4 linked regions of the Lepisosteus oculatus genome follow. The protein of the gene in region 2 purifies or fractionates together with the protein of the main gene of each other region. This does not show direct contact. Links are inferred from orthologs where the notes say so. Each region holds a gene or a part of one and is shown on either strand. Other genes may lie near its edges.

Region 1 (7,219 bases), on a different chromosome or scaffold from region 2:
GACCAGTTGAGGAATTAAGAAATTACTTCACCAGTTAAATTAAATGGAGGCCTTCAGGTAGGCCAGACTGGAGTAAACGACTCACCCCTGTGAACAGTGCCATGGGATTTTATTTAAAGTAGCCAGGACTTTGGTTTAACGTCTCATCAAAAGGACAACTGATCAATATAATTGTAAACTGGTTTGGAATATTCTGGCCAAATGGATGGATTTAGACCCTGCCTTGTTTACCCTCCATACTTATGAGACCAGAATACAGAGTGGCAAGACTGCTGTCAAAGATATCCTTAAATAAACTTTTGCAATTCCAGTTTCAAATAAAAAAAATAAATGAAGCTCTTCTAAATATGCTATGGAAATGCATCACAACGAGCAACCAATATTTTAAAATAATATACTGTGTATATTTCCAAGGTGAAAATAATGAGTTTATTATTACTTACCCGCAGCTCTGAAAATTCATAGTCGATGTACTCTCTCATCAGGGACAAGTGCAACAAGTGAAATGTTGTCTCTTCAGGTGTACTTATTCTATATAAAACAAAACACGCATAAGTGTCAAAAAGAGAAGGAGCAACATGAAATTCAAATATTAAATGGCACTGACTTATGCACTTGCCTTTTCTGTGACTTTTTACCACCAAAACGAACTTCTTCTCTCAAAAGAGAGAAGTGAGGTTCATGGCTTGTCAACCCAAGCATTATCTACATGGAAGAAGGAAAAAGAAAATGGTATAAATATTTAGCCAGCAGGTAAGAAAAAGTTACTTTAATTCTACTGGAAACATTTATAATTATTTTGCTCTGACATTTCATAACAGCTCTTAGGTTTACATTTTGGGAAGACCTTATACTACAATCTCAGTCTGTTAATGAGGGAGGTTTAGTGACAACTAAAGGTACTCATGATAGTTTTATTAGCATCCTAAAATTATTTAATAAGCACTTTTATAACGAAAGTTGTTCAATCCCGTAGTTCAATTTTTTTTAAAGGCAACACCTTTAAATGCTTAAAAGTCATGTACAATCAAATGAAAATGCATGCATTTTTCAAACTAAAAAATACATACCAGATCAGCATCCAAACCATAAAGACAGTGCCTGGTATTGGGGTCATGGTCTGGCCTGGCATTTTCTGACCGAATGAATTCCATGATTTTGTGTTCTCCTTCTCCAGGGGTCTGTACAGTAAATAAATAGCAGATTTGTGATCATAATACCTAGCATGGAAAACTCTCGAGACTGCAGAGGTACACCGGAACATAAATCACATCACGTATCGAATTACTCTGTTTCTCTATTTAATTATATACCTCATGACCGGAGAGGTAAACTCGCACCCTCTGCCATGATTTTTCTGTGGATATTTTGTTATGCACAAAATACTCCAGCTGCTCCTGGAGTCTGGCCATAAATTCTGTTCCTAAAAAAAAAAAGAGAAAAGGCATTTGAGGGGTACAGTACAAACATGTCAGAAAACAAGGCAAAAGATGAGCGAGGTGTCAACATAGCCCCAGCTGTGTAGTAGCTACCTGGAGTAATGCAGTTGGAGTCAAATCTAGCCTCTGTAGGAAGAACTTCTCCTTTCTCTAGGGCCTTCTTAATTTTATCTTCAGCTTCTTTTGCTGACCTTCAAATAAAACAAAAAAATAAAAACACTGCCCATAAAGTATCAACCTCCCAGACAGACTACCTTTGAATCCGTGGTACACGAAACAAACCGTGTTGTTACCTAAAGCGCCTTCCGCGCTGTTGGTTCATTTTTGCGCGAGGAGCCACTCCATCCACGGCCATGAAGAAGACCTTTCTCGGCTTAATGATACGAAACAGCACTTCCAGATAGTGAAAAATGTCGGCAAATATTTTCTCTTCTGAGATTCGGAAGTGCACGTCTTCATCATTGGGGTGGGAGCACTGATGAATAATGCCATTCATGTCCAAGTACAGGTTGTCAAATTCAGGAATCTGAAGCAAGGGACAGAAACAGACTGCCTTTAGCCTCTACCGGGCAATAAAGCAACATTAAGTCGGTCGCCTGCGCCTCAAAGTGAACTGCAACAATGTCGCTGTTTCGGCTGTAAAGTCTACGAGAGTGCGCTCTTAAATGAAGCTTTAAATATAAAAACTAATTTACAATATTTCCCAAAGCAAAATAAACCAACGTGTTAGCCGCCCTGGATAGAAGCTAAAAATAATAAATACATAGAAAAGGCGACCTCTGTAACGAGAGAAAGAGATAAGAATATCGTTTAGATGTATTGACTACAAATGCAACTATGAGGATTATTACTGGTTCTGTTCGCAGCAACAGGACAAAATTACATATTGAGCATGTTTTTACAAATCAAGTAAAACTGCTGTTGTCAGGGAGATACTAAAACCAAAATGTCTTATATTTATTGTATCTACTGTATTCAATTGCAGATGTTTCCGCTCATAAAACAACTTTAAAAAACAATTGCTTCTTAATGACAACAGTCATTTATGCGGTCTAAACTAAACAGAAAATGAAAACTCATACTGAAGCTCAATTATTTTATAGAAAAAATAAACAGACAGAGCTATGCAATTAAATCAGAATCAGAAGGAAGGGTTGTATGGTGTAACTCGTAAGGCCTATATATTCTTACCTGATGTTCCTTAACAACTTCACTCAAACAAGGGTATCTCTCCGAAATCCATCGGTAAAATTTCGGTACACCCATCCTTACCACAACCTCGTCCCGAGAGATTAAAAAAAAATGAATTGCAGTGTTGCAGTAAAAGTTTATATTCCTACGGAGGCCAGTTTTTATTTTTGCTTCTATGCCAGCGGGGAAGTGCGGACGGTCAATTCGAAATTGCTGTGACGTAAGACTGATATGGATACAGTACAATGCTAAAATAACAATTCATCAATTTCCACTAAAAGACTTGTAACGAAATTTCATTTTTTTCCTAATCTTTCGCCAAGATTAAATAAAGCAAGAGCTTTTTGTTCAAACGTTAAATTGTTTCCCTTTCTTATTATTTGTCCGACAAATAATCAGTCCCGGACTGCTTCGACTCACAGTAAAGGTTCCTATGGACTTTAAAACTGTCAATTACTGCCGTTGTGAGATTGTTAAATCTGCGGCGGCGGAGGAATAATAAATAAAAGTAATAAAACCAGTGCTAAATAAAATAAATATTAAGGTCATATTTAATCAAACACGGTGGATTAACAGTCCTTAAAACCGCAGACGACAATACAGTGGCTAGGATTGTCCACATTAGGACAAATAAAACTGCTGATGCGTGTCAGACGATGGGGTAAAGTAAGGCATTCAACAGAGGATAAAATCTAGAACCCCTTAGAATTCGGGTGTTAGAATGACAAAGGGCAACACCTGCACTATTCCGGAAAAGACGGCTCAACCTCGCCATCTCGTCAAAAAGACTGTGTGATACTGTTCGGTTTACTGAAAGTGAACTTTATTACACATACTTTGACCAATTGGGCTAGTATTTTGCCCGCACCAGTTCAACACAACGATGCCGAGTGATTAGCGATTTATTAACTGTATTTTTCGTGATTGAAGTTTTGCCATGTTCAACAAAGTGGATGTCAGTTGAATGGTAACGTTTTAGTGTTTCTGTTAAAGGAACGCGGATGTCAGTTGAATGATTTTTTAGAGAATGTTCCTGTTAAATTAAAATTATAGTAACAATAGTAACATCTTAGAAATGCATTTTGAGATAAACATTTAAGATGCCTTTGTAGTATTTCATTTTTCGACCTTCACTGGAGAATAGAAAATCTGTTACATAACTGGAATAAGAAGGCCAGAATTAAACTGCACTTAGTCAAACGTCGTGTCTGTATAATAACAGAACTTATCCAGGAGATACGGGATATTTCATGAAGTCCTTCAAAAAGTGATGAGGGGGAAATTCATTCAGGAAGGCTTTGGAGGGACTATTGTTATAAGAAAGTTTTGGTAATTTGTGTGGAGCACTAGATTACACTAATTTAAAAAAGAACAGGTTTTCAGTAAATAAAATCAAAAGATAATGTTACTTTTCTGCTAAAAGATTTTTTAAACATGTACATCTCTCAAGAAGTTCACCACAAGAATCCAAGACAGTGTTTACAACTTGTTGAGATTTTTCAATGTCTCTCTGAGCTACAGTATGTCTCAAACCCAGACAATACTTCAAAAGAAAGAGCTAAAGATCTTAGTTAAGAAATCAGATCTGAAATTAAGGGAGGTGCTTTGAAAATTTTTATAGAACTCTTTTATTATTGTGGTTATAATGTAACACGTGAATTTACATAACAGAAATAATGTCAATAATTTCCAAACAGATTTGAACACCGCAAAGAAATGAACACGCCAGTAGAAACATAAATGTTTTTAATAAAAGAAAGTGAGGAATGAATTTGCCCTGAATAATAAGTGCTTATTTGAGACACCAAACATGGTCACAGGTAGGGAGCCCAGCCCAGGTACATGAGACAAAGCAGTTTCTCATTTGTGGCTTCATCGATGAGGTAGTGAACATGGCCTTCAATGGATAGAGGCAAACCCATCACCTTGTTCCTGTTCTTGATAACCCCCTGCAGCCTCTGCTCTATATCAAGGACATGGGTCTTCGCCTACAGAAAACAAAGAGCAAATGTCAACAGTGCAGGTATTTCCAAGATGCTACCACTCGACAATTCTGTCAGAGAAAGTTCAGGTATTGCTGTGTACAGGAAATACAATAGACAATTCAGTGATTGCGTTTGACACCTGTCAAATTCATTCACCCTGGCTTGAAACAGGAATTCAGAATACAACATCACATCACAGTTGTCTGTGAAACGGCATACCTTTTCATTAAGGATTTCTCCGGATTCATTGACGTGGGCTTTTGTACCTCCCTTAACAGGTTTACTCCACTCCACCAACGGATCATGAAGGAAGGTCTTCAAGACACTAAGAAGTTGGAAAGAAACGAGCACAAAGTTCAAACACTGTACTTCATGAATGGAGATTACTCAATGTGTGTAAACCCACAGAGGGAGGAGGTTCCTACCTCATTAACGGCTCCCTCTGATCCCGCATTAGTCGGAGGGTGACCTCACAGGCTTGGCGGAACAGACCCTCAGTTCCCATGGGGCCCATGGCGTGAACCATATTCTGTGTCAGTCGGAAAGGCACTACTTCTGGGACTTCAAATGTTTCACCCTATCACGGAAAAGAAAAGGCTCAAAATTCCCTGCATGCACAAAATGAGCACCTAAAACACGGTTATTCATTGATGTCATTCCTTTTTTCCTTATTGTATAGGGGTTCCCAACCTCCCAATAAGGACAAGCAACATTAGCAGTAAATCAGATTGAAACAAAGAATATAAATTATTCCCTGAAATATATTTGCTGAAAGAAACTGGGCTTAATAACACCTTAAAAACCTTTATAACAAACCTATGCAAAGGACAAAAGTTTGTCTTTAAGGCCTTTGAAGGATTTAAGAATAGAGGAATATGGCTCAGGTGTCACCACTTGATTGTAACAGAATTCCAATTGGAACATACTTCACAAATGAGGGGAGACCATATAGCTAGGTTGGTTTTCTATCACTAGGGGGTTTGAGGATGTTTTGGTGAAAGAAACTTCGGTACTATCTTTGACAGCCCATCTGGGTAGTTTGTTGCAGATGTCTAGCGTATCCACTCCATTTTAAAAGCAATTCCCTTATTTTTGTCTGTGCAGCATTCAGAGGTTGAAGTCATGAGCCAAGTCTTACAAGGCAGGTGCCAGATTGGGTGGGTATATGATAAAAACACACCTGAGGTAATATGCGCACACACCTTATTAAAGAGACAGTTGAAGTCCACATGCACACATTCTCCTGTTAAAGAGTCAAACAGGATGTTTTCTCCATGTCGATCCCCAAGTCCCAGGATGTAGCCCACCATTGACATCACAGCAATGGAGCGGCAATATGCAGATCTACTGCTGTACCTGTAACGAGACACCGTTCCAGGAACTTGCGTTACATTAAAGTGATACGGTTTCCCTCAAATTGTTTGAACAATTTAAACAGATGGAATGGTACAAACCATGAAGTAGGATCAGGGAACGTTCTAAGGAACCACTCATAAAAGACTGGAGGGTGTCGGGGAACGAGAACATTTTTGTGCAGTTTCAATTTTTCCATAAAGGGGGCAGATTTTGGCAACATGTACTTGCGTAACTCCTTTCCACTTAAGTAAATGCCTGAGGAAAAGCAGATCATTAAAATATTTAAGTGAGAAAGAAGAAAATAAGTTAAGGTGAAAGTCTATCATCATTCACATGGGTACTAATAAACTGCAAAATACAGTATGTCATAATATGAAGACCATAAAGATTTTCAAGTCTAAATGTCAATGGTGGTTTACTCATTAGTTTCTCTTCTCAATACATATTTCAGAATTTCCCCTTTAAAAATGTTTAAAATGAGATAATTTTCCTGATACACCCAAATGCCTTTTTTTCAATTCTAGCTTCAGAATCAAATATTTTCTCTTCCCATTTAGTCCCATCTAACTATATAACAATGTAAATATGCAACCATCTAACCATGCACCATGTAATAGCATGACTTTTTAAAATAGTGTTATGTTACACAGATCTAATCATATAAACAAACATCACAGTGTTATGTACAGGTTTTTGATGCAAACTGACTTCTGAAATTATAAGTGTATTCCATGAATTGGCACAATTATAGTCTACATTTATTTTAAATCACTTACAGTATGTGTCAGTTTCCACAATCTAAATTTAAGCATCACTTTTGATTTGCATTACTTCTGAAATAACACATGACTGAGCACGTCCTCACTAATGCCTTTTGATTTAGACTTTTTGCGCTTGTTTTTGTCCTTGTTTAATACCACTAATAGACAATTAGTGAATAAACTTTAGTGAATTTAATTTAAGTTTGTGTACATCCACAAATAACAACTACTTTATTTGTAGGTGTACTGTATATTTACTGCCTTCTTATGAATACTGACTTCTTCAGCAAACAACAGCTTTTCATATGATTCAAATTTCAAATTGCAACAGTTTAGAAATGAATGACATGCACCTTTTTCTTTGTACAATTTGTTGAGGATGTGCCTCAGCCCTGCTGTATTGTTCACCCACTCAATAATCCCACATTCCTCGTTCAAGGGGATGACAGCATAGGTCCTGATGTGCAGCTCTCTCCTCCTGGACTCT
Region 2 (7,704 bases):
GGCTGAAAAAGAAAAGATGCACAGCAGCTGTTACTGAAACAACTGTACTTCAGGAAACTGCTACACAAACCAATAGAATAAGAGATTCAAAATGCAAGCTTAATATCTTTCTTTCAAAAAGAAGAGAATCTGACTTGGTAGTGTAATTGAACACTGTTACATTTAATCTTCTTATAATCCTGTTCTCACCATAATTGATGAGTATTTTTGAGTAAAACAATCTACAAGAATCAGCTGTTATACACAATTAAATGAACATCTTCATTTCAGCTACCATAAAACATGTATATTGTGTTATATCAAAAGAATAAAACTTTCTTCAGCAATTTACAACAATAGTCCAACTTTATCCTTCACATTAAAATATTACTAGGTTAAAATGTAACATGAAAAGGGAATCTGAAACAGGAATAATGCTGTTTTTCTGTACTACTTCATTTCTAACTGTTGCACACACCTGCCAGAGGTATTCCCACGTCCATTACAGAACCATTTCTTACTGGTGTTGCAGTAGACCACACATGCTGGATCATGAATTCCACAGTAGCTTGAAAATAGAAATTAACAAGATAAGCACATTTTGTTTTCTCACCTACTGCAACATGCGCTGTCAAAACACACCAAGTAGCAACAAAACAAACATAGCAGTAGGAGGTATTGAAGAAAAACGGTACTAGAGGCTCTCAAACTCTCTCATCCCCGAGGGGAAATAAGTGTTGCATTACAATTCAACACAATCACCCAACATAACCACCATCCCCAACAAGAAGTCAAAAGAAACAGTATTTTAGAAAACATGCATATTTAACATTTTTCAAAAATAATGAAACGAAGATATTCAAATAAAAAACAAACAACTGCACAGACACCAGTAGGCATTAACCGCAAAGCATGCCCAGTCCAAATCCCCCTGGTGTCCTGTACCTGCAGGCGTGGGCTGGGAGGTCCTTGGTGTAATAGGTGTCCTCTTCATCTTCCTCAAAGTTCAGTTCAGCAAGCAGCTGGCTGGTTTTTGCTACAGCATCATCCACAGCTCCATTCTGCAAAACTCCATCAGGGCCATTCACCTATAAGACATACAAGTTGGAGAACAGCGTTTCTTGCAATCTGACTTTAAAAATGGACAATAAAGACGACACTTTGGGAAAAGCAGTACAGACTACGAAATGAAAAAGAATTATAAGGCTTTCAGGTGACCAACCCTAACCTAACCAGAAATCATACATAAAGTAAAATACTCCTTTAGTACTGTTTTCTCACATTTTATAAATATATTACAAGTTCACTCCCAATCCCCTTAACATCACTAGTCCAATCAATAAAATACAGTGCAATAAATTAAACACTGCATTCAATACGTTGCAAAAAGGGAATTTTAGAAGAAAAAAATATAGGATGTACGGTCCTCCCAATCTGAGATCAGTTAATAAAATCTGTTCCCAAGATCAATTCTGACAAGTAAGGCACCATGTGAAACAAGGAAAACAAGAAAGTTTAATAACAAAGCGGGCGAATCTGCCCCAGCAAATACTTCAGTTTTTAGCAGCTTTTTATCCCGATTAATTGGTGTTCTTTAACGGCTGCCAACCCAACAAACCAGATTCAAATTGCCGAAAAGCCCAAGTTCAAACAGCTTAACTCTGTCAGTCATAGCTGCTGGGAATTCACTTTCAGGTCAATTCAACAGGAAATAAAAGGGACATCACAACCTTCACAGAAATAAAAAGGGCGCGATCGCACACAACACGACACAAACCTGTCCGCTAATATCGGATATTAATCGCTTGCTGGGGGGGGAGAAAACTGTAGAAATGACAGGCCGTGAAGTGCAGCACCATTTTATCCCTTAGCGTAACCTCCTCCCAAACTATCAGTTTCACATCAACCCGTCACGGCAAGTTTCAGTGACACGTTTTTGGTGCAAAAAGGGCGAACTTTAAAAAAAAAACTACTAAGAACTTCGCCACGCTGGCCGGGTGAAGGCAAGGTGGCGATTTCTCCCAACAAATGCTGAGCGATTTCACGCCGACGAAAACCCCTCTTTTCCGGGTTGGTCTCCCTTAGACTACACGGCATTGATACAAAAAAGACAGACCCGACACACGCAACTTTTCGGCGTGAAGGTCCATTTCTTTGAATTTACTGCGCGCTACGTCAGTTCGGGCTCAATTTTCCTCGTAAAAATGTTGCCGGGCTGCGGTAGGAATAGTTTCAGCGATGCTGCCGGCTGACACGAGTACCTAGGGCAGAGGAATTTCACTCGCCGAGGACACGAAGCAGGTAAAGACTACGGGCCCGACCCAAACTCTCGCCAAATCCGCGTTTTTCGTGCTCCGACGGGAAGGTGGCAGCTCACCGGTTTCTCCCCCATCGGAAAAAAAAGGAGACCTCCAGCGAGCGAACCGAGAGCCCGCGGCTACGGAACGGCTCCTCGACGCCGGCTACTCAAGTCAGGAAACGTCCCCGGACTCTGCAAGTAACGCGGGCCTACTTCACTTTTACCTCAGCTGGGTAGCTTTGTAACAGCACGCCGGAGGTCTGCTCGGCGAAAATGTGAGCTGTAATGGTGTGACGGGCACACGAACCTGGTTGTCCAGCTGACTCTGGGTCTGTCCTTGCGTTTGGGTCTGGCTGGGCAGCGTGAAGTCGGTAAACTCGAACTCCGAGCCCTGGGTATCGGCTCCCAGCAGCTCGGCTTCCTCCGTGTCCAGGAAGGTTAGAGTCTGTGAGCTCGGCCCGTACGCCTCCACGCTCATTTCTCCTCAGAGCACCGGCGGATTTACAAGGAGGTGGGGAAAGAAAAAACCGCAGGAAAGTCCGGCCCCGGCGAGTTTTATTTCTCTGTTTTTCTCCAGTACTCAACGCGTGTCGTCCCGGCGGCGCGCTGGCTTTGAAAGTAAACGGAAATCGAACCGAACCAGAAAATTAAACAGTAACACACACAGCTCGAGAGAGCTCCCAACTCCCACACCAACCCGTGACGAAATACCCAACTACACAGAGAAGCGCAACGTCATGCGCACAAAGCTGCACCAAGACCGATGACGTCTGCAGTACTGTGGTGTGTGTGTGTCAAGGGGCGCTATCCTTAAACGTGATGTAAACTTTGGAAATGTCGTATTTTTCAAGTTATACACAACCGTCGAAGCCTTTTTTTATTTTGATTTATTTTGATCTTGAAATGTAAGGAAAACACCGAAGGAAAATACCGAACTTGAGACTTTAGCTGACCGTATAGCTGCAATGGGACTATACTTTTACTGGAAAACCGTCTTATGGCTCTTTGCTCAATCACAAGCAGTGGTTTCACAGACCTCTAATACCACTAATCTTGGACTACCTAATATTGTTTCAGGTAAACATGTCTCGGAGTATTACTAAACTGTGCTACTCCGTGTGGAGCGTTAAAAGGGAGATTTCGTATTAAAGATATCCTGTCTAAAGGCAATATAAATGCAAAGACTGGTCTTTTTTCGTTAATGTGGCATACACTGTGTACGATCACGTCATCCATTGCTCATAAATTTAAGGGGTTATATGGACGTTCATACCCTTGAACAAAACTACCGAATTTGTGATAAACGATTTAATAGACTCGGTTGTTGCAAGACAGTGCAACACGATACGGTACGTCCAATAATTGTGCTGAGCATTAAATCAGATTTAACAATTTTATTGCATTAAAAAACGCAGTATTTAATGACTGGGTTCCACCAACAGTATTTGAGCGCCAGCACGAGGTTGGCTCTGCTATCGGATCATCAAACACCACTTTCAGACGGTACAGCACTGTCTGAATATCTTCCCAGAAACGAGTTTTGTTATTTTCACTTTTCTTCAGTTAATGTACAACGTACTTACAGTACACTCTACAATTGTAATTATATTTCTATGGCTTTTCTTGTGATTGTAATAAAGTCTGATCGTTAAATTAGTTTGTACCACTCAGAAAACTCCATTTTTGACCAGTTCATTGGCTGCTTGGAAAGCAAACCGCCCTGCGTTAAAGCACCAGCTCAACAAAGTAATCGAATCTAGGTCTAATAATAACTTTAGGTAGAATGTTTGGAAATAACTTGCTATTTAATGCAAAAAAACAGTGGTCGCTTAGCAACTACGTTCGTCGACGCAGGTTTAGAGAACGTCTCATTATTAAAATAGAAATTTTGTTTTTCATGGAAACACCTAGAAACAGTCTTTACAGCTAGCTGCACATACAGCAATGGTCTCAGATGCATTTTCCACATTTGCTAAATGTGCTCATTTCACAGTCCTGTGGCCTATAGCTGTAACTCCACACGTTTCCCGCAAACTTAACTAATAGGCCATCACTGGATTTCACCTTTGTTGGGATTTTCTTTTTGAGTTCCAGGAAAGTGCAAGAAGGAAATAGCCGCGAGCATGGGGAGAAAGAGACGTTGACAGAGCACTTACATAGAGCAGCAGCACGCTGATTGGAGCATACAAGTCAAATAAACTATTTTTATATAGACACTTTTAAAAGTGTCTCGTCCACAAGTTCTTCACAGAACCAACAACAAAACAATACAGTTGGAGAGGAGATAGTGGAAGGGGGGATGGAATACAGTAGGAAAGCAAGGGGGCAGACACCAGTTAAGTCAAAACCCTTTTTAAAAAGAAGGGCTTGAGTCTAGATGTAAAAGACCCCCAAGCAAGGTGACTCTGATATCCTTAGGGATGGAGTTCCAGAGCTCTGGGGCGGAGCAGGAGAAGGCCCCGTCACCCATAGAGTGTAGACAGGCCTGGGGGACAGACAGGAGAGCCGAGTTAGACAAGTGAAGTCTGCAGGACAAGAGTAGCTATGAGGAAGGTAACTCCTTCATGGGGATGTGGAAAATCTTCGTCTGTATTCGCCGCAGCTGCCGTAGATGTGGTTGATCTGGCTCACACCCCCAGGGTCTCTCGGAGAGATGACTGCCTCCGCACAACAGCCACAGAACACAAGCTTCCTGAGGCTTACATAACTTGTTTACCCAAACTCCTGCTAAAGCATGGTTTTGTAATGTAGATAAATCAACAAGGTTGTAATCTTCCAGCTTCTCTACCCAGACCTCTGACCTTCTGCGGCCAATGGTTTTACACCCAAGAACGCTCGCTCCTACGGCCTGGGTCTTTGTCTTTCATTCTTTCTCTGGCAAATCATAGGTTTGTGCCACATCATTCAATTTAACTCTCCAGCTCACACACCGATCTTTTTATAGATCGGTGCTCACCAACATGCCGTCGCGGGTCTCCGTACAGATTCAAAGGTTTTTTGGTGACCTGTTCCACCTTTGTAACTCAGAGCTGTTAGGTCCACTTTGCTGGATTTTAACAAGGACCACAAGAACACCCAACCTTATTTTATAGTGCTGTAGGTGGTCAGATTCACATCCCGTTTCCTTGTCTACCAATCGCTATCACAGATGTTTGAGACTGGAAGAGCTTGTCCTTTAGACCTGAAACTGAGGTCCTGACTATTGAGTCATGAAAACATCCCATGCCACTGTTTGCAAGTAGATGTTTAAACTAATGTACTAAATTCTATTGTCATCTCTAAATTGTGCTTAGTGGATTCAACTTTCCATGTCTACCTGATCTAATGTGCAGTGGGGCTGCTGGTGCAGAATAGGTACCACGTCACCCAAGTGTGTGCTTGATTAGGTCGTGTCCCCCAGTATGAAAGCAATGCATTTTATATGTCCAATTTGTAGCTTCCATCCTGCATTTGATTAAAACTTTTGGTGTAAACACTTTCTCAGCAGTCAGTCCCAAGGGATTATTGTATTTATTAAGGATTTGAACTTCTAGGTGACTGCTAATGTGGCTGTGATTTATACATAAATTGTCTTACAAGTACAATATATTTTGAAAGTGTCAAGAGACTTGGCAATTGTAAATACTATAATGAATTAAATGTAACGTCCCTTAGATTTACCCAGTTTTATGGTTGACAGGGTTACATTTTTCAGAAACAGTGGGGGTAACATACTGAAGCAGGTTTGGAACAGCACAAGACAAAGCAAAGAGACTGGAGAATAAAGAGTTTATTAATTTTTCTTCACTACAGGGGCCCAACATGCCCAGTTTTGTCATATTTTCTATTTTGATGTCACTTACAAAGACAAGATTCGGCTTAAAAGTCCGATACCAAATAATGGGAAAAATATACTTCCTTACAGTGGAATTGGATATAAATCTAGATGCCACATTAAAATATAGAGCACACAAAAAAAATCATTTCAAAGAAGGGAGCATTATGACAGAGGTAGGTACAGTATATACTGGAAAGAGCTTTTAATTGGGCCTGATGTTGAGGACACTCAGATTTTGACTAAGGTAACACTGGTGTTAAGTAGCATGGACAGCCCTTTCCAACACCCCAGATTATGTTTTGGTTTAAAAAGGCACTGTTAACAAGAGACATCCTTTACTGATGCATGCTTAATTGACACTCGGGGTCCCATGACACCAAGTTCTTCATCACGTAAAGTAGGCATTTTTTCTTTACACCCAAGGCAGTTTAACTATTTGTCTTTTTACACCATCCTGTAGGAAGAGGCAACTCTCACCACAGAACACACAGGCAGTGACAACCTTCCTTCCACAACCACACCCCCCTCCTCCAGTCACTCCCTCATTCTCTGATCAACATGGTTCTCCTTTACAAACCCACTACTCTTTCTGCATCATCTGCAATTCTAGAAACTGCTTCTGCTAGGCTCTTTTTAAGATCTTGGTAATTACACAGTGGCAGAAATGGAGTTTGCGGTCAAGGATGAACGGAAAAAGAAAAAAGGAAAATTTTCACCATGGGACAGTTCGTCTCACAAGTGACTTGTTTCCATCCGAATAAAATAAGTCATTACCGTAATGCACTGCTAATACAGATCCAGTTCTACAAATACTAAACCATCTTCAAGAGCAAAGAGCAGGTGTACAGGTCACAAGATTTCATTTGGCTGAATTTCCTTGTTTATTGATGAGAAGCTAAAAGTAGGGATCGGGTGTGTGACAGGCATGGTTTCTGCATGCAATCAAGAGCCAATCAAAATGAACTTTAATTTAAAATGAAGTGACAATACCTATCACAGACCAGTGGTCTTAATCCTGATTGATGCCAGTCACCCCAAATCCACATTTTCTTTAGACAATACTATTGCCGAAATGTAGAGCTGCTATAATGGACTAATTTATAAGTGACGCACAGTGCATAAAGCTTGTATTCATACAATCCGGAATTCAAAATGTCTGTAAACTGCGGCAGCAGTTCATTTTGATGGCCACGTTTGTATCCAAGGAAGAAATAGTGTCTTGCAAGCTTGGATTTTCATGATTGCAATCCTGCTCAGAAAAGGTGGACAGGCTTTCAAAAGAACATTGATGGAAACAATATCAAATATACAAAATCCAGCTGACCGATTAATGATTTGATGCCATTGAAAACGAAATGTTCAGAAGTTTTCTAGTATAAGGGGTTTATGATAGACTATCGCCGCAATAAAGGTACAATTCCACAAGGGGGAGCTATAAATTAAGTGTAATCATCCACAAAGATGCAAGTGCAAGACCTTGGCTCAACAATGAAGACAGCACAGTTCAAGCTAGTTTAAGGTATTAACAGCACAGTCAATATCACAGTCTTCAGATGCATCACAACAGTTGCTCTCCATGGTCAAATTAAGAATCTGAAATTTTGTTCTA
Region 3 (7,597 bases), on a different chromosome or scaffold from region 2:
CCTGCATTACGATGAGAGAAGAAAAACAAGTGTTAGTTGGAAACCTTATCGCAAGAAAACCGACTCACGTTATTTTCAATGATGTAATAATAAGAGCAGCAGTGCAATGTAAGTGCTAAACCGCAATTAACAGTTTTCTAGCAAGGGAACCCCAGCTCATTTTCTCACAGTTACAGACCTGGTCCAATATTTGATTTCATAATTGTGACACTTCTAACCCAGACTCTGGCGTGTTTAATAAATAACTATCTTTTAATGAAGTCAATAGTTTGAGGAAAAAACCCAAAAGAAAGGTTAACTACTCAGGTTGGAACAAAAAAGGACACTAGGCCATCCAACAGTGGAGTCCTGTAGTAAACATTATCCTTGGATATTCAGTTCATATAAACCCCATTAGAAAGCTGAAGGGATTTTCCTTCCCAGTGTACATTCTACAATTCCTTTTCCAACACCCATGCCATGCCTTGGAATGAGTTACCACTTCCTACATTTTCCAGGATCCCTAGAAAGCAGACTTATTTCAAAAAGAATTTCAAAAACGTGTTCATGATTTTTACTTGTTCTTTCTTGATACACACTTCGTAAATCACTGTGAGTCAAGCACATGAGCTTAAAAAAAAAAACACAGTTCCATTTGTTCCTATAGCACTAGTGTGCTTAAAACACTCTATATTCATGATTTCTCTTCAGGTAAGTTTGTTGAATATTTATTCTACCAGATTTTCAGAAAGGCAGTATTGTTTAAGATAAAATATTCTACTAGAAACAGAAAAGGCTGTTTACGTTACTCAAGCACAGCAGTTTCACATTCCTCCCTCAGTTTCACATTCCTCCCTCAGTGAGAGCTTGATAGTGACAGATTCAGGACACGTGTGAGCTCAGGCAACGACCATGCTGAGCAGACACACAGACTGTAGCCCCTGCCTACAGCACCAGTAGCGCCATTTTCCAGGAAGTCTGTACAGGAGCTGCCCACCGTTCCCAGGAAAGAAACTAAAGAAAGGCTTCCTAGGATTTTTAGGGAAAGGTTTGCCCTAGAAGAACACGTCTCTCAACCTCAGACAGCACATGTGGGAAACAGGTCGGACCCCGCCCCCCAATATACACCCGGGGCATCACAGCACATTCCACTCATGGAAACAGACGGCAAAAAAGGGGGGTGAAAGACCCCCAACTTGCATCGCACCATACACACTCGGAGACTTGATGATTCACTGGGGCTCCCCAACTCTCAAATCTCTGCTGGGGCGCAGGACATCACACACGCCGCCAGCAACGCCAGTAACTCGCACGCCACAAGCCACCTCGCCGCCCACAGGGTCTCGATGGGTTAGCGTTTCTTTCCCGCAGCCCCAGCTTGGTGCCGGGGAGACGTTTCCTGGGCCAGAAGGCTCGGACGCAGGGAGGAGGGCAAAGGGGCCACAGCAGAACCCGACCGTCGGCTGTTAAAGCTCGATCTGGGGGGGGGGCGAGAACCCGTCTGAGCTGCTGTGCGTTAGCAGGGTGTGGAAATAAAGCACCGCTAGTGATCCCCACCCCTGGACCCCAAAACTCTCTCTCCTGCAGGCTGTCAGGGACTCTGGAATCTCAACACTGACTTAAGAGCAGCTTAACGTTAGCGTTAAATGTTTTCACGAATCAAGCATTTCTTGGGTCTTAAGATTCTGTGAGTCAAGCTAAGAGACTTACGAACCCAAGAGCACTTGGGGTACCAGTGTATAAAGCGCAGGTCTCTGCACAACCCCGCTGTTTTCAGATGTCAACAGGCCACTGCGTTTGAGACCCCGCCATCGGCCAGCTGTGACACAGGAGGTGTGACACGGAGGGCAGCAGTCTGAGCTCCTGGGGATTCGAGTCTCCACTGCAGACGCTGCTGTTGTACTCCGAGCGGGGTGTCGTACCCCAGCAGCTGGTGAAGTGGGGAGCAGCACTGCTGGGGGTGACCCCTGCCCTGGACTGGCGTCCTGTCGGCGGTGGGGGGATCCCGTGCTCTCTCCTGCCCAGGGAGACTGGGGGGAAGAGAAGGGCTCTGGCCCCGTGTGGCTCAGGTATGGAGACTAGGCACCCAGCAGAGCAGCTCTGAGGACCCCGCTCACATAGAGGAGCCCATCGGCACCTCCCGTGCTCACGAAACTGGGTGCCATAGGCAAAAAGAAACTGAAAATAAAACAATCCTGGTCAAGCGATTGTAAATTCACAGGCCTTGAGCTCTGTGCTCCAGAGGATCCGATCTGCTCCAGACAGCCCATCACTACCCCTTGGAGTACAAACCCCACAAGCGCTCCGGGGCGGCCGGGCGGAGAGGACGCGTGTCCGTGGGCACCGAGTGGACGGTGAATTCACGCCCCTGCCTTTCCCCACACCAGCCCAGACCACCAACAAGGGAGAGGTTCCGATCTGCTCTCAGCATCCAGCTGGTAGCTTCCTCCAGTCGGCAGGGGCTACCGTCCGCTGCTCAAGCGGTATGGAGCTGCCGGACCGTGGGGCTCAACGCCCGGCCCCGGTGTAACCCGCACCGACCGCCCGGCTCCCCGCAGGGACCCGCGGCTCCACGGCCTCCCTCCTGGGCGCTGCTGCAGCGCTAGCCCGAGGCCGTGCGGCCTGAGAGGAGCCGAGCAGATGAAGCCCATTTTTAACTCCCCAGCTCAAAGCCGAGAAGCGTTGGGGGGGGTGGGGGTTCGGCGACGAGAGACTCACACACTCCGACTCGTCCTCACTCTTCTTCCGCACCCGGACGCTGGGCAGCACCGCAGGTTCGGGAGCCCTCGCCCGGGGCTTTCCTCCAGCTGGACCCGAATTCCCGCTCTCGGTGCCAGAACCGGACTCGTCCTCTTCCTCGGTGTCCTGGGACGCGCGCTTCCGCCGCCGCCGCCTGTCCGCCATCTTGGGAAATGAACAGGGGAAAACTTGCGCCTCCCGAGGGCTTATGGGAAACGTAGGCCAAGCACACGTGAGGAGGCGCAACGAAGCCATCGGGAACACTACAATTCCCATGAACCCTCACGGCCATGACTCGCGAAAGCTCTTTATGGGAAGTGTAGGCAATACTTACTGAAGCAGTGTTTGCTACTACAGATTGTCCGTCGGGTATTAAATTATTTCGGATTTGCAGTAAATGATAGGGGTTTTTTTTTAAACCGTTGACTAGTTCACCACGTGGAGTACTTCAAAGTCAGCAGTGCAACACGAACTAAATGACAAAAAAAATAAACTACGCGACAGAACCCCTACAGCTGGTTATATAATTTACACAAAGAGTTGTGTGAGTCTAGAACAAGTTGCCCAGCTGTGCTGCCGAAACATATTTCATCTTTTAAAAACATCTCTCGCATGAAGTTGATTTCATTTTCCAGTTAGTAAGGTGTAGTCATTTTACCTGAGCCCAGTTTCAAACCCCCAGGGTACTGACTTCGAAATCTCGTGTTGATGTGCTTTCAAAAGCAAGGAGGCTCTACCGCGGTCTCTCTAATTAATTCGAGGGATTATTGCGACTAAAAAGGTACTTATGTACCAGGCTGCGTTCTTCGACTTTGTCTTTCGAAGAGATGAACAACAGTGATCAATGAGAAACGTCAACAGGTCAATAACCTGGTAGAAGCGCCTGAAGCACTTCGACCCCACTTCGGTAGGCGCCTGCCACCTGGTGGAAGAACTAGGTACTGCTGAGCTCTGCGCAGGAATCGCGAGGGTTTTCCGGAAACTCGCGATCAGGTGCAGATTGTTGAGTTTAGGTGTAAAGTTTTCATGCTGGAAAAAAACCCATCCATAAAATAAGAGATGAAAGGCTGCATGGCATCAATAAAGCAGGATGTCTCCTTCCCCATTTGCTGAATCATTTATACTATTTCCTGTTAACACAGGACAGGCTTCCCGTTTTCAATCCTCAATTCACTACTGCCTTCATTTTGTCACTTGTGGCCTCGGGTCCTTTTCTCACTGCTGGTCCTGAAGCAGTCCCTCTTGGACGACTTATAAGGAGGCTTCTGTACATGAAGGGTGGCAGAAGCAGGAAACAAGCTGCACGCCCCATTGTTTTATTTTGAGAAATGGCTGGACTTTGGTCCTCAGTTTAATTAGCTACCAACAAATAACATTAGATGGGTGGAACAGTCTCTTTGCAAACCTGCAGTATGTGCTTTATCAGTCTTCATTTTATTTACACATAAGCATATTCCAGATGAAGTGTTACCAAGAGCTTTTACTTGCCTAGACTTGACATGTACAGATTTCACTCTATATCCTAATCCTGTTGCCTGACTCCTGACAGGACACACCCGAAACACTGCATTTTTAAGGGCGGAATTATCCTCTACTTGTTCTATAACACACTGTTACACGTGTAAGATTCCTACCAAAAGAGCTGAATCTCACGGCGATTTGGGGGGAAACCAGGTCCCATTTCTTAGAAACACCAAAAATAAATGCAGTGCAACCAGTGGCCCGTTCCTTTACTAACTCCGAGAGGGAGAAGGCAAAGCATAAATATCCCATCCCCTCCAAATAAAACATGGCATTCACTCGAGTTTGTGAATTTTATTGAAAAACAATTCCACTTTGTCAACTTTTTCACACTGAAGCATGTTTTTTTTTTTAGAATACCAATACTGAACGTTAACACTCAAGAGTGAAGTTGAACTTTAAATAAAAATAACAGCCACGTCGTGCTTATTTACACCTTGTGTGTGTTTCTGAAAGCTATGTACAGAGGCGGTCAAATATACAGTTTGGGATTTTGTCGTCTCCCGCTGGGGAGGAGAAACGGAACCAGAAGAGGACAGAGACGCAACAGGAAGCGGGGACGACCACAGAGAGAAAGAGACGCGCGTCTCGGGGCCTTCTGATCACGGCTGCCTCGACACAGGGCTGAGACTGGCAGGTTTCTCAGCGCCGTGGAACTCGCACGAGGAGCCGAGGGAACCGGTCGACATCCCAGCCTCCGTAACCCATTCCAAACAAGGTCTGAAGCACAGGCTGATCACGGTCCTTGTTCTATTCTATGGCAGGCTTGCTTTTTAATAGTAAATCGTCACTTATTTTCGTTACTCCTTCCCAAAGTGGAAGAGGCCATCAGATTTTTTTTTTTACACCTTTTGCCCAGTCACTACCAGTAGCCCAGGGCCCAACAGGAGGGGAGCGCCCCTCCCTGATGCCTCCTCCTGCCTGCAGGGAGCCCAGGAGGCCACAGGGGGCGCTGTGTTGTCAAGCACTGCGAGAGTTCTAACTGCCCCCACCACCACCCTCAGCAGGGGGTCAGTGACATGACCCAGGCTCGAACCCGTGCTCAGACAAGTGCCTTGACCAGCCGCTCCACACGGGGGCCCACCATGAGGCTTACCCTTGGAACTGGCTGGGAGAGGACGGCATGAGATCAACAACTGGGAAGAGCAGAATTCCAACATCAACACAAAAACGGGGTGAAAGACAGAGGCGAGGCTGAAAGAAATACTCTCATTTTTGTTGTGTTGCGCCTGAACGTGCACGACCAGCACAGAGGGGACTGGCGAGATGCGATCAATTCTGCAGGCGAAGAAGAAGCGGGGAAAAAAAACACAGGGCACAAACCGCCCAAAACAAAACGGACCCCACTGACCTCTGACCTCGCTGCCGGTCAGCTGGACACCCCTGCAAGCGACGCAGCCCCCCTGCAGCACCGACAGCGTCTCGTCTTGCATTTCTGTTTGTATTCCGGCATTCCTGAAGAAAACCAGTCATCACCTGACCAGGTAGCCTTGGGATCACACAGGCGTCAGGGATGTGAGGAGCTGACTCTGGAATCTTAACCTGAGAGGCCAGGGGGGCAGAAGTTTTTCATCATGTACAGCTAGGGTATTCCAGCTCGAAATAAGAGATCGACACAGTCGTGCTCCTCACTAACAGCAAATGCTGCTGGAAACGTGCAACCCCACACAATGTACAGCACACAGATCCTGGCTCTGTACTGCAAGTGTTTAACAAGCAAGGAGCTCAAGGGGTGGGCAGGTTGTGGGCACTGGACGCGAGGGCCAGCTGACCAGGCGGACAGAGCTCAGCTGTAAGAGCATCTTTACACAGAACCTGACAGGACGTAAAACTAACAATAAAAAGGGTAAGAAATACAATCCCCAAAATTTTAACAAAAACAGCAAAGGGATTAAAATACCTCCAACTGAGGAACATGCAGAAGATGAACATTTAAAGAGGGAAAACAGAGCAAACCCCCTCTCCCCTCCTCCAGAGGGACAGAGGAACAGCTATATGAACCCACTTTTAGACTAGTTTTCCTCTTTGTACAGTTTATTTTTACAGCATGCGTCTCTTATGCTTTTCAACAATCAGGGTAAAGCACCACTCCTGCGCTTGAAACAAGGGGCAGCGCTCCGAGGAACTCCCACTGGACACCGGCGGGGGCTTGGGACAGCGAGGACACAAGGACCTCCGGGGTCCTGAACCGCGAGATCCAGTGCTGGACCACCACCATCCCAATGCCTTAGGAAATTCCTATATTTCCAGTGAACAGAGAAATGGGGAAACATGGCAGCTCCTTCAAATGAAGCCACTTGAAGCTCAAATCAAACGGGCTACAGCTCCCCAAGACTTTGCTGAGCTCGAAACGTTTTTACCTTCTCCTGGTCAAGAGAGGACGCCGATGAGCCTCGGAAAGGGTGGGCCAGCCTGTTCATCCAGGTTCACCCGGGAGGTCCAGGCACCAGCTGCAGTGGGACCCCTGGTATTCATTCCACCTCCGACGCCAGTTACTTAATTCAACCCATTTGGATAGGATGTCTTTTCCGGGGGGCTTAATTGTGCATAGAGAAACGCAGATAAACCCACAGGTTTTGCCCGGTAGGTCTGGGGGTGTACAAGACGGTCCCGTCCCCCCAGGCTTTGAAGGGAGCTGTTCTGAGACTCAGGATAGCCGACACTCGAACAGAGGAAACGGGGCGACAGCGCTGCTGCCCCCTAGTGTCACGGCAGCCAGGAGAACCACAGCCATCCAGGCGCATTACGACACCATCAGCCAATCAGGCAGCTGCGTGCATCGTGTCAGACTGAGCTCCTGTCACAGTTCAAATGAAAACCCTCCTTTCACAATCAGCTCAACTTCCTCGGGGGATGAAATACCAGCACCTCTTTGCTGAACTCTTGTCACACAGCCTTAAGACATCCAATTCATTCTAAGCACAGTCCCTATAGAGATTTATAGGCCCAGTGAAAAGCACTGCATTTCTCCAATTAAGAAACCCACTGTGTAATCCAGTCTGGAATTTAGTTTTAAACCCCAAATTCAACAGCTAAGGACTGATCCAGACCAATTAAACCAAGTCATTAAAAGCTGGAGCATGGTAAGGGGCAGGAAGATCATATCTCTGGAATTCCAGGGCCATGCAGTTAGAACTGTATCTGGGAAACAAACAGCACATGGCTCAAGTACGATTCAACATTCTATAAGTACTATTATTTCTAGTCCCTTAATAGGCTTGGGTGGGTAATATTTCACTGAACACTGCACTTCAGATGCTCAGACGCAGGGAACTGTAGGAGATTGTGTGCCAACCAGGCACAGGGGAATCAGCAGGGCTCCTCTCCAAAAACTAGTGACCAGGGATCTAGACAAGGG
Region 4 (7,213 bases), on a different chromosome or scaffold from region 2:
AATCAAAGTCGGGACATCAAATCATTACATTAGGCTAGTGTACAATTAATTAATTAACTACAATTAATGCAGTGAGAAAAAATTCCTAGCAAGATGGAAAAGCATGATACAGGACTCAGTTTATCGCTCCTACACTCCATATGCTTGAAGAATAGATAAAGACTGTACTTCAGTAATTAAAAAAGCCTAATGAGCAGTCATTTTGATAGAAAACTAGTAAAACAATTAAACTTATGTTAGTAATGCACCCGACTTGCTGAAAACAGGCATTTAGCAGTTGTAATCTTTATTTTCCATGTATTTAATGCAGTATGGCAACATAATCACCATCCATCTTGGCAATACACTTTTATAAAAAGAAGCAATTGGCACATCAAATTTGTAAAGGTCTCTTTTTTAGAGGTCTTAATTTAGATCTACAATTGTACAAAAATATATGAATCTGAATATCTACAAGAGAGCTGAATTGCTTGTCAGATCGACTGCCACAACCACCAGCTTTTCCTGCAAAACGGGTGCTCCAAATACAATCATTCCTGTACACCTTCATTAGGAGCTGGGATTGTTGCTAAACATGCTTCAATGTGCTGGAGCCGTGTGATCAAACAAGAAGGAGGCTCCAGTCCGGTCCTACATGTCCCAGGCCCTCCGGGTTTTCTTGTTCTCTTTAGCTCCTCAATAAGCCTGTTAAGACCTAGAGATCTAGTAGCAATGGTCAAGGTGGACACCTCAAGATTGTATTCCATTGGAAAATCATGAAAAACAAAATTCCAGGCTGTATTTCACTGGCTAATAGTGAACTTAAAGTTCAAGAACATATTTATTTTCCACATCAACATTTTCCCCTGATAATAATGAACTTTGTTATAGGGCTGGGCGATAACTCGATAACGATAATTATCGCGATATAATTTTCCTCGATATAATTTTAACAAAAGTTTGATAAATGTTCGATATATATGTTTATGCTTTGCGCATGCGTGTTGCAGACCGGGCTGCTAACGTGCTGTTTATCCACACGGTGGTGGCTGACAGGATTGTAGTTAGAGTGGAGAAATGAGCGACACTGAAGCAAATGTAGTGCTGCTAATGACCAGCTCGAAGGACGATGACATCGTCGACAGAAAAGGTCATTCAACTTCAGTAATTTGGAGATTTTTTGGCTTTTTACGATCAGACATAAAACAGAGCACTTTAAACTTTGCAGTCTGTCTGAACCATCTTCTATGTGTGTTTTATCACACTGCAGTATTTAATTTTTCTATTAAGATATTTATTTTGTACATTTTACTCATGTATATTTTTACATAAAAAAGACTTGAATACTCTCTATTCATCTGTTTAATGTTTCTGCTGTTTGGCAAGTGTTTGTTGTGTTCATAAAATAAAGAGTCGTTTAATTTTCCAATTAACTGTTCCTTCAACTTTCACTCAGGAGAAAAAATCTGCCTTTAAACTTGAAAGAAATAATTATTTGAGATTCATCGTGATAATTATCTATATCGACTGATATGAAAATTTTGATTGAGATAATGTTTTTGGCCATATCGCCCAGCCCTACTTTGTTATACAGCACCTTTAAAAGTAACTTCTCCAGGTTACTCATTTAATCACCAATGACAAAACAGCCAGAAGCTCTCATTTCCAGCTCAGCCTAGAAATCCATCTGTACAGCTGCCAACATGCTTCCACAACACGGACTCACCTGATCCGAACCCTCTGCCTTTTCTCTTCTTTGCCTTTTCCTTTAACTTATGGATGCTTTCTGAAAAAGAAGACAGTACAGTGGGCATTAGTTTTTCCCGCGTTGAACACATCTATAAAGAGGTCAAAACAGAAGATGTCTTTTTGCTCTCCATTCATTGACAAAATGTTACTTTTTGAGGCTAGCACAAAGTGTGTTCCCATTGTGCTACTGTTGAATTTGATATGGTCATTGTCGATTCTGATATGCTATGATTTATTTGATCTAATTGGGAATGACACACTTTGCCCATTCAAGACTGTATCTTTTTAAGCTTCTCTGATTGTAAACTGACATGGACAAAGACAACAGCAACAGTGCTATCATAGCATACCATGCACACAACTGGTTCAACTAAAAAGCAGATGATTTTATTCTATATAATTTAATTCTATACCAAATAGCCAACGTTACATTCTCGGACAGTTATTCTCTGGAACAACACAGAACAAGTGATCCCCTCATCGTTAACCCTTCTTCACGACGCCGATCGGCTGTATTGATCGTGGTTACAGCAATCCCCACCCCCCTCTCCCCCCGCGGCATCAGCAATTCTGCATCGTTAATGGAATCCAGTTTGATCAGAGGACTGTGGGTGAACCGTGTGGGAAAGACGGGGTCCGAGTCGGACCCCAGATGGCAGACCCTGTTAAACAAGACCCTGCACCCCGATGGCGCCCAGGCCCGAGTCAAACCCGGGCCTCCCCTGCGGCTCCCACGCCCGCCTCCCTGCGGCCTGGCAAGCGTATTCCGCTCTGGACGATGAGCAAAGGTAAATATTTTAACAGCCGCAATGGCTGAACCTCAGCACCTCCACAGAACCCAAGCAGAGCTTATAGACCGCCCTACAAGCCGACAGCGAAAATTACACTGCGTGTGTAGGAAATAAGGGAGGGCAGAGATACAGCAAAACCGCGAACAAAAATGATTATAAGGGCCGTTAATAAATATAGTTGCACCCCCGGTCACCCATAAGCGAATAACTACAAAATTACATTCAAACCAAACCAGATCCAGACAAACAGTGTGGCTCATTTGTACACTGCTGAACTATCTTTTGCCGAAAAATAACGTTTACAGCGGGCTATACCTAAGAAAAAAAGACGAACCGACTGCTCTTATTTTAAACTACTCTGTGGTCCGCGGAAAGGTATATTAAATTTTACCATCACCATCCTCATCCATAGGAAAATCCTCGCCGCCAGCTTCATGTAAGTCCAGGACGTCCGCCATCTTCTCTGCCGTGTGTGGAAAGACGTGCGAGACCGGAAACGCGTCACCTTCTTTAACCGCCAACGGAAGAAATCGCGGAGAGGCGAGTCTGCGGCCATTTTGAGGAGGTCTGTTAACCCCACGCGTGAGGTCAAACGTCGACGGAACAAAAGACGGTGTGCCGTTGGTTTAAATGTGTTTATTTTTATAAGTGAAGATTAAAAATGTTTTATCACGCATATAAGTTATGAAATTAAAAAATACCAACTTAAAAGTAATTTAAAAGGATCATTTTTGCCTTTTCTCACACAAGGGTTTAATAATAATAATAATAATAATAATAATAAAAACCTTAATTACATGGCACCTTTAAAATTAACTTCCCAAAGAACTTTACAGTAAAAAAAAAGTTTACAAGGAGAAGACGTGACAAAATTGGCAAAACTTAATAATAATAATAATAATAATTGCTTACACTTACACTTATATAGCGCTTTTCTGGACACTCCACTCAAAGCGCTTTACAGGTAATGGGGTCTCCCATCCACCACCACCAGTGTGCAGCCCCACCTGGATGATGCGACGGCAGCCATAGTGCGCCAGAACGCTCACCACACATCAGCTATTAGTGGGGAGGAGAGCAGAGAGTGATGAAGCCAATTCATAGATGGGGATTATTAGGAGGCCATGATTGGTTAAGGCCAATGGGAAATTTGGCCAGGACGCCGGGGTTACACCCCTACTCTTTTCGAGAAACGCCCTGGGATTTTTAATGACCACAGAGAGTCAGGACCTCGGTTTTACGTCTCATCCGAAGGACGGCACCTGTTTACAGTATAGTGTCCCCATCACTATACTGGGGCATTAGGACCCACGTGGACTACAGGGTGAGCGCCCCCTGCTGGCCCCACTAACACCTCTTCCAGCAGCAACCTTAGTTTTTCCCAGGAGGTCTCCCATCCAGGTACTGAGCAGGCTCACACCTGCTTAGCTTCAGTGGGCTGCCAGTTGTGAGTTGCAGGGTGATATGGCTGCTGGCAAATCAAGGATTTTTAACTGAAATGCAGAATGCAGAGAATGTGACTCTGGTATCCTTGGGTATAGAGCTCCAGAGCTCTGGGGCGCAGCAGGAGAAGGCCTGTCACCCCCAGTTTCAACAAGTTTGAGCAGACCAGAGCCAGACGGATGAAGGTTGCGAGATGGGGAGCAGGAGGCCCAGCGAGCAGAGCACTGCAGTGATCAGTTCTGGAAGAGACGAATGTGCTGGGATACAGGATTTGTGTGGCAGAAGCCAACAAGTCCTGACATTGCAGTTACTGTATTTACTAAATAATGTTCTAAAGTAACTTTCTGAGAGACCAGCTTAAGACTTTAAACTAACTGGTTAAAAAGAACAGAATTCACAGTGAAATTTGTGTTTGAGATTTCAATTATTGCATTGCCTTAAAGCTTCAAGATTTTGAATGATAAAATCTAATACTGCTATTTAGCTCTTTGAACAAGAAACCGCATCCTGGCTGATTAAGCCATCGTGGTCTTTCTGTAATTTCCAGCTGGCGTTCCATACTTCCTCAGAAAGAAAGTGCCTTTTCTAGAGTGCTCAAGGAAAGCTTAAATAGTTTCTAAGTCTTTAATTTTGCTCAATATGGATTTATTATGATTGGAGTTGGACAAAGTGTTAGTCTTTCTAATAAAACCTTTATCACACCCTGTAAAATGCACTATTAAAGTAAGGAATCAATACATTTTGGATTGAAGTGGATGATGAAATGCTTAATTCTGCAACTGAGTATTGGTGAAGTAGCATTTTCTGTTCTGTTGGGATGTTGGCAAAAAAGTGTGGTTACTGCATTATGATGTTAGATGATTACTAACATCCTTCAGTTGAGAGAACAGAGATATGAATATGATCAAACATCAGTCCTAGAGAAAGACCTATGTAGGGTTAAACATAACATTTCTGGCAGAGGTGGTAAGTATTTATCAACTGTCAAGCTCAACTACTGTAGATCAGATGAAAGCAGAGGATGTAGCGTGTAGATTTTGTGAACTCAGTTCCCAGCTGTCTGCACTGCATATCAAGAGCAGATTTTACAACAGTGTTCATGTTGGTGCCAATAATTAGGTTGTTATCTAATCTGAGATCTACTGTATCTGTAATGTAATCTTAGATCTATAGATTTACAGTTTTGGTAAATACATAGAGTATTATGGGACAAATAGTAAAGTGTAGTATAAACCGAAGCAAACAAGATTTTTTTTATTAAAGATAGTAGTTTTCAAAAATGCACCTCTTCCTCATCAACCCCCTCGTCTAGAACCGTAAACTGAGAGTTACAACTGAAGAATGAAGAGATAAGAGAGATGCCCGGGAAGTGAGATAATTCATATCATTTTTGTGTTTTTGTATGTTTTTTGCAAACTATGCAGTTTAGTGGCTTGACGTAGGCTTTGTGCTCAAATGTATATAAAGATGCTGCCTGTCCTTGGTCAGTAAGATAAGGGGCATGTATTTGGTAAGATGGCTGTACGCCCATAATATGAAAAGAACTAACTGTTGTCTAGTCTGCAACTTAGATATAATTAATTGGCAGGTGTTGCTTTTTCATCATTTGTTTAGAATGTGTCATAGTAACTCTTTTTGTTTTAAGGTATAAAGGACCATCTTCAGCTACTTATTTTTTAAGTCTGGTGGTTGCAAGCCAGACTTCCAAATGCATATGAATAAAGAGACTTCTGCTTCACAGGCACCTGAACTTTGTCATTTTTTTGACACTACACAACATAACAGAATTTGTGAATCTCATGGTTTATTAACAATTTTTATGAATTAGCTAAATCTAATGCCTCAGGTGGAATTAATGTATCATGGCAATATCTGCTTCATTTCTGCACGACAAATATTGTGACCACTAACGTTTATAAGGACTGTTCAAACCATGTTAATTCCAGGTGTAGAGTACAAATCCACTGGAAACCTTTTCCTCAAGCAGAAGAGGAGTTTACTGTGTATTCAGCTGAAGAGAAGCACCCTCCCTGCAATTACAGTAGGAGGATGAGTTTAACAAGAAAAGGTACAGCTGACCTTTTGTACACTTACTTGATAAGGAAGACAAAGAGCTTAAGTCTCAACAAGAAAAAAAAAACTTCAGTCTTAATTTCTATTGGTTAAGCAAAATTCTACTTTAATCATAAGATGTCTACGTAACTGAGCTATATCAGTGTTTTCTAAAAGCAGGTAGTTACAATTGGCCTTCTACACAAAAACAATTCTTTGGGATTCTTAAAACAAGCCTTCTTTGTGTGTGCAGGCCCTCGCTCTTATCAACAGTAAATACATTTAATGTTTTGCTGAACAAGCTGTACGGATCAAGAATTTAAACCCTTCACAGGCAAGAAAATTACATTAGAATTTGAGTATTTAAAATAAGCTGGAGACTCGTTGAAAGGCATGCCATACCATAAGAGAGAATGTTCTGGTCTTGTACACAGTCTAACACTTGTGAGACAATCAGAACAGAAATAGAAACAATTGATTAGGGTTCTCAAAAGGCCCCTCCCTTGGGCTGCCAGCAGAAGCCAAAGCAATCCCCTTTCAGACAATTTAAAAAGGCAGAACAAGCCCACACCCACACCGGTAACCTAGCTCTGTGGTGAGCAGCTAAGCCTTCCTCCAGTACAGCACAGGAAAACAACACAACACATATGCACTGAAGTAATGTAACATTAACAGTAACGCAGACAGTCCTAGTTATCTCTAGTTATCAAAGAGAGGACCTATGACAGACACATACTGTAGATCTTCTTGAGAACCCAGGACGGGAATATTACCCAGAAGGGCTGAATTAAAAGCAGACAGACTACCCCTCTAACCTTCTGCAGCACAGGCTGTACAGGCATGGCAAAATTGATCCACCCTCTGATGCAGACGAATCAGAGGAGATCTCTTCCCCACCTATTTAGATATTGAGCACCACAGCGTTAATCAGAGAGCTAATAACGCCCTCCTAACAGAATCTAAATCACTGTAACCTCAGAAAAAGGTGTGCACTTGCCGGCCAGGTGATGAGTCTGCACTGCACTGAAACCAAGGTTGCGGCCACTAACTCAGGTGTCCGGTGGGCGTCACCTGATGACCTGTACACACCAGCCACTCGAGCAGTGCAGTTCCCCCACACGTCAGGCGATTCGTCGATCTTGATCAGGCTGAGAAATTTCCTGCCAATACTGCTCGTTTAGAAGGGGAAGCATTTTGGA

Evidence for each region.
Region 1: the proteins of upf1 (region 2) and xrn1 purify together in Homo sapiens (affinity purification with western blotting; 4 studies listed by BioGRID and IntAct, with this or other methods). This does not show direct contact. The link is inferred for Lepisosteus oculatus from reciprocal best matches to the Homo sapiens genes UPF1 and XRN1.
Region 3: the proteins of upf1 (region 2) and casc3 purify together in Homo sapiens (co-immunoprecipitation; 5 studies listed by BioGRID and IntAct, with this or other methods). This does not show direct contact. The link is inferred for Lepisosteus oculatus from reciprocal best matches to the Homo sapiens genes UPF1 and CASC3.
Region 4: the proteins of upf1 (region 2) and rbm8a purify together in Homo sapiens (co-immunoprecipitation; 7 studies listed by BioGRID and IntAct, with this or other methods). This does not show direct contact. The link is inferred for Lepisosteus oculatus from reciprocal best matches to the Homo sapiens genes UPF1 and RBM8A.

Annotation. Positions count from the first base shown.
Region 1 is NC_090708.1:15,747,976-15,755,194, reverse strand, and holds the start of xrn1 (5'-3' exoribonuclease 1), read right to left. Parts: upstream 3,012-7,219; 5' UTR 2,706-3,011; coding exon 2,631-2,705; intron 1,966-2,630; coding exon 1,733-1,965; intron 1,631-1,732; coding exon 1,533-1,630; intron 1,424-1,532; coding exon 1,314-1,423; intron 1,182-1,313; coding exon 1,071-1,181; intron 706-1,070; coding exon 620-705; intron 532-619; coding exon 444-531; intron 1-443. Other genes in the region: serine/threonine-protein kinase ATR, read right to left, coding at 4,445-4,618, 4,835-4,940, 5,041-5,192, 5,818-5,971, 6,070-6,226, 7,086-7,219. UniProt on the Homo sapiens protein: Major 5'-3' exoribonuclease involved in mRNA decay. Required for the 5'-3'-processing of the G4 tetraplex-containing DNA and RNA substrates. The kinetic of hydrolysis is faster for G4 RNA tetraplex than for G4 DNA tetraplex and monomeric RNA tetraplex.
Region 2 is NC_090724.1:3,883,629-3,891,332, reverse strand, and holds the start of upf1 (regulator of nonsense transcripts 1), read right to left. Parts: upstream 3,007-7,704; 5' UTR 2,757-3,006; coding exon 2,586-2,756; intron 1,068-2,585; coding exon 925-1,067; intron 548-924; coding exon 458-547; intron 3-457; coding exon 1-2. UniProt on the Homo sapiens protein: RNA-dependent helicase required for nonsense-mediated decay (NMD) of aberrant mRNAs containing premature stop codons and modulates the expression level of normal mRNAs.
Region 3 is NC_090723.1:9,611,385-9,618,981, reverse strand, and holds the start of casc3 (protein CASC3), read right to left. Parts: upstream 3,009-7,597; 5' UTR 2,995-3,008; coding exon 2,698-2,994; intron 2-2,697; coding exon 1-1. UniProt on the Homo sapiens protein: Required for pre-mRNA splicing as component of the spliceosome. Core component of the splicing-dependent multiprotein exon junction complex (EJC) deposited at splice junctions on mRNAs.
Region 4 is NC_090722.1:2,288,686-2,295,898, reverse strand, and holds the start of rbm8a (RNA-binding protein 8A), read right to left. Parts: upstream 3,017-7,213; 5' UTR 2,978-3,016; coding exon 2,911-2,977; intron 1,766-2,910; coding exon 1,706-1,765; intron 1-1,705.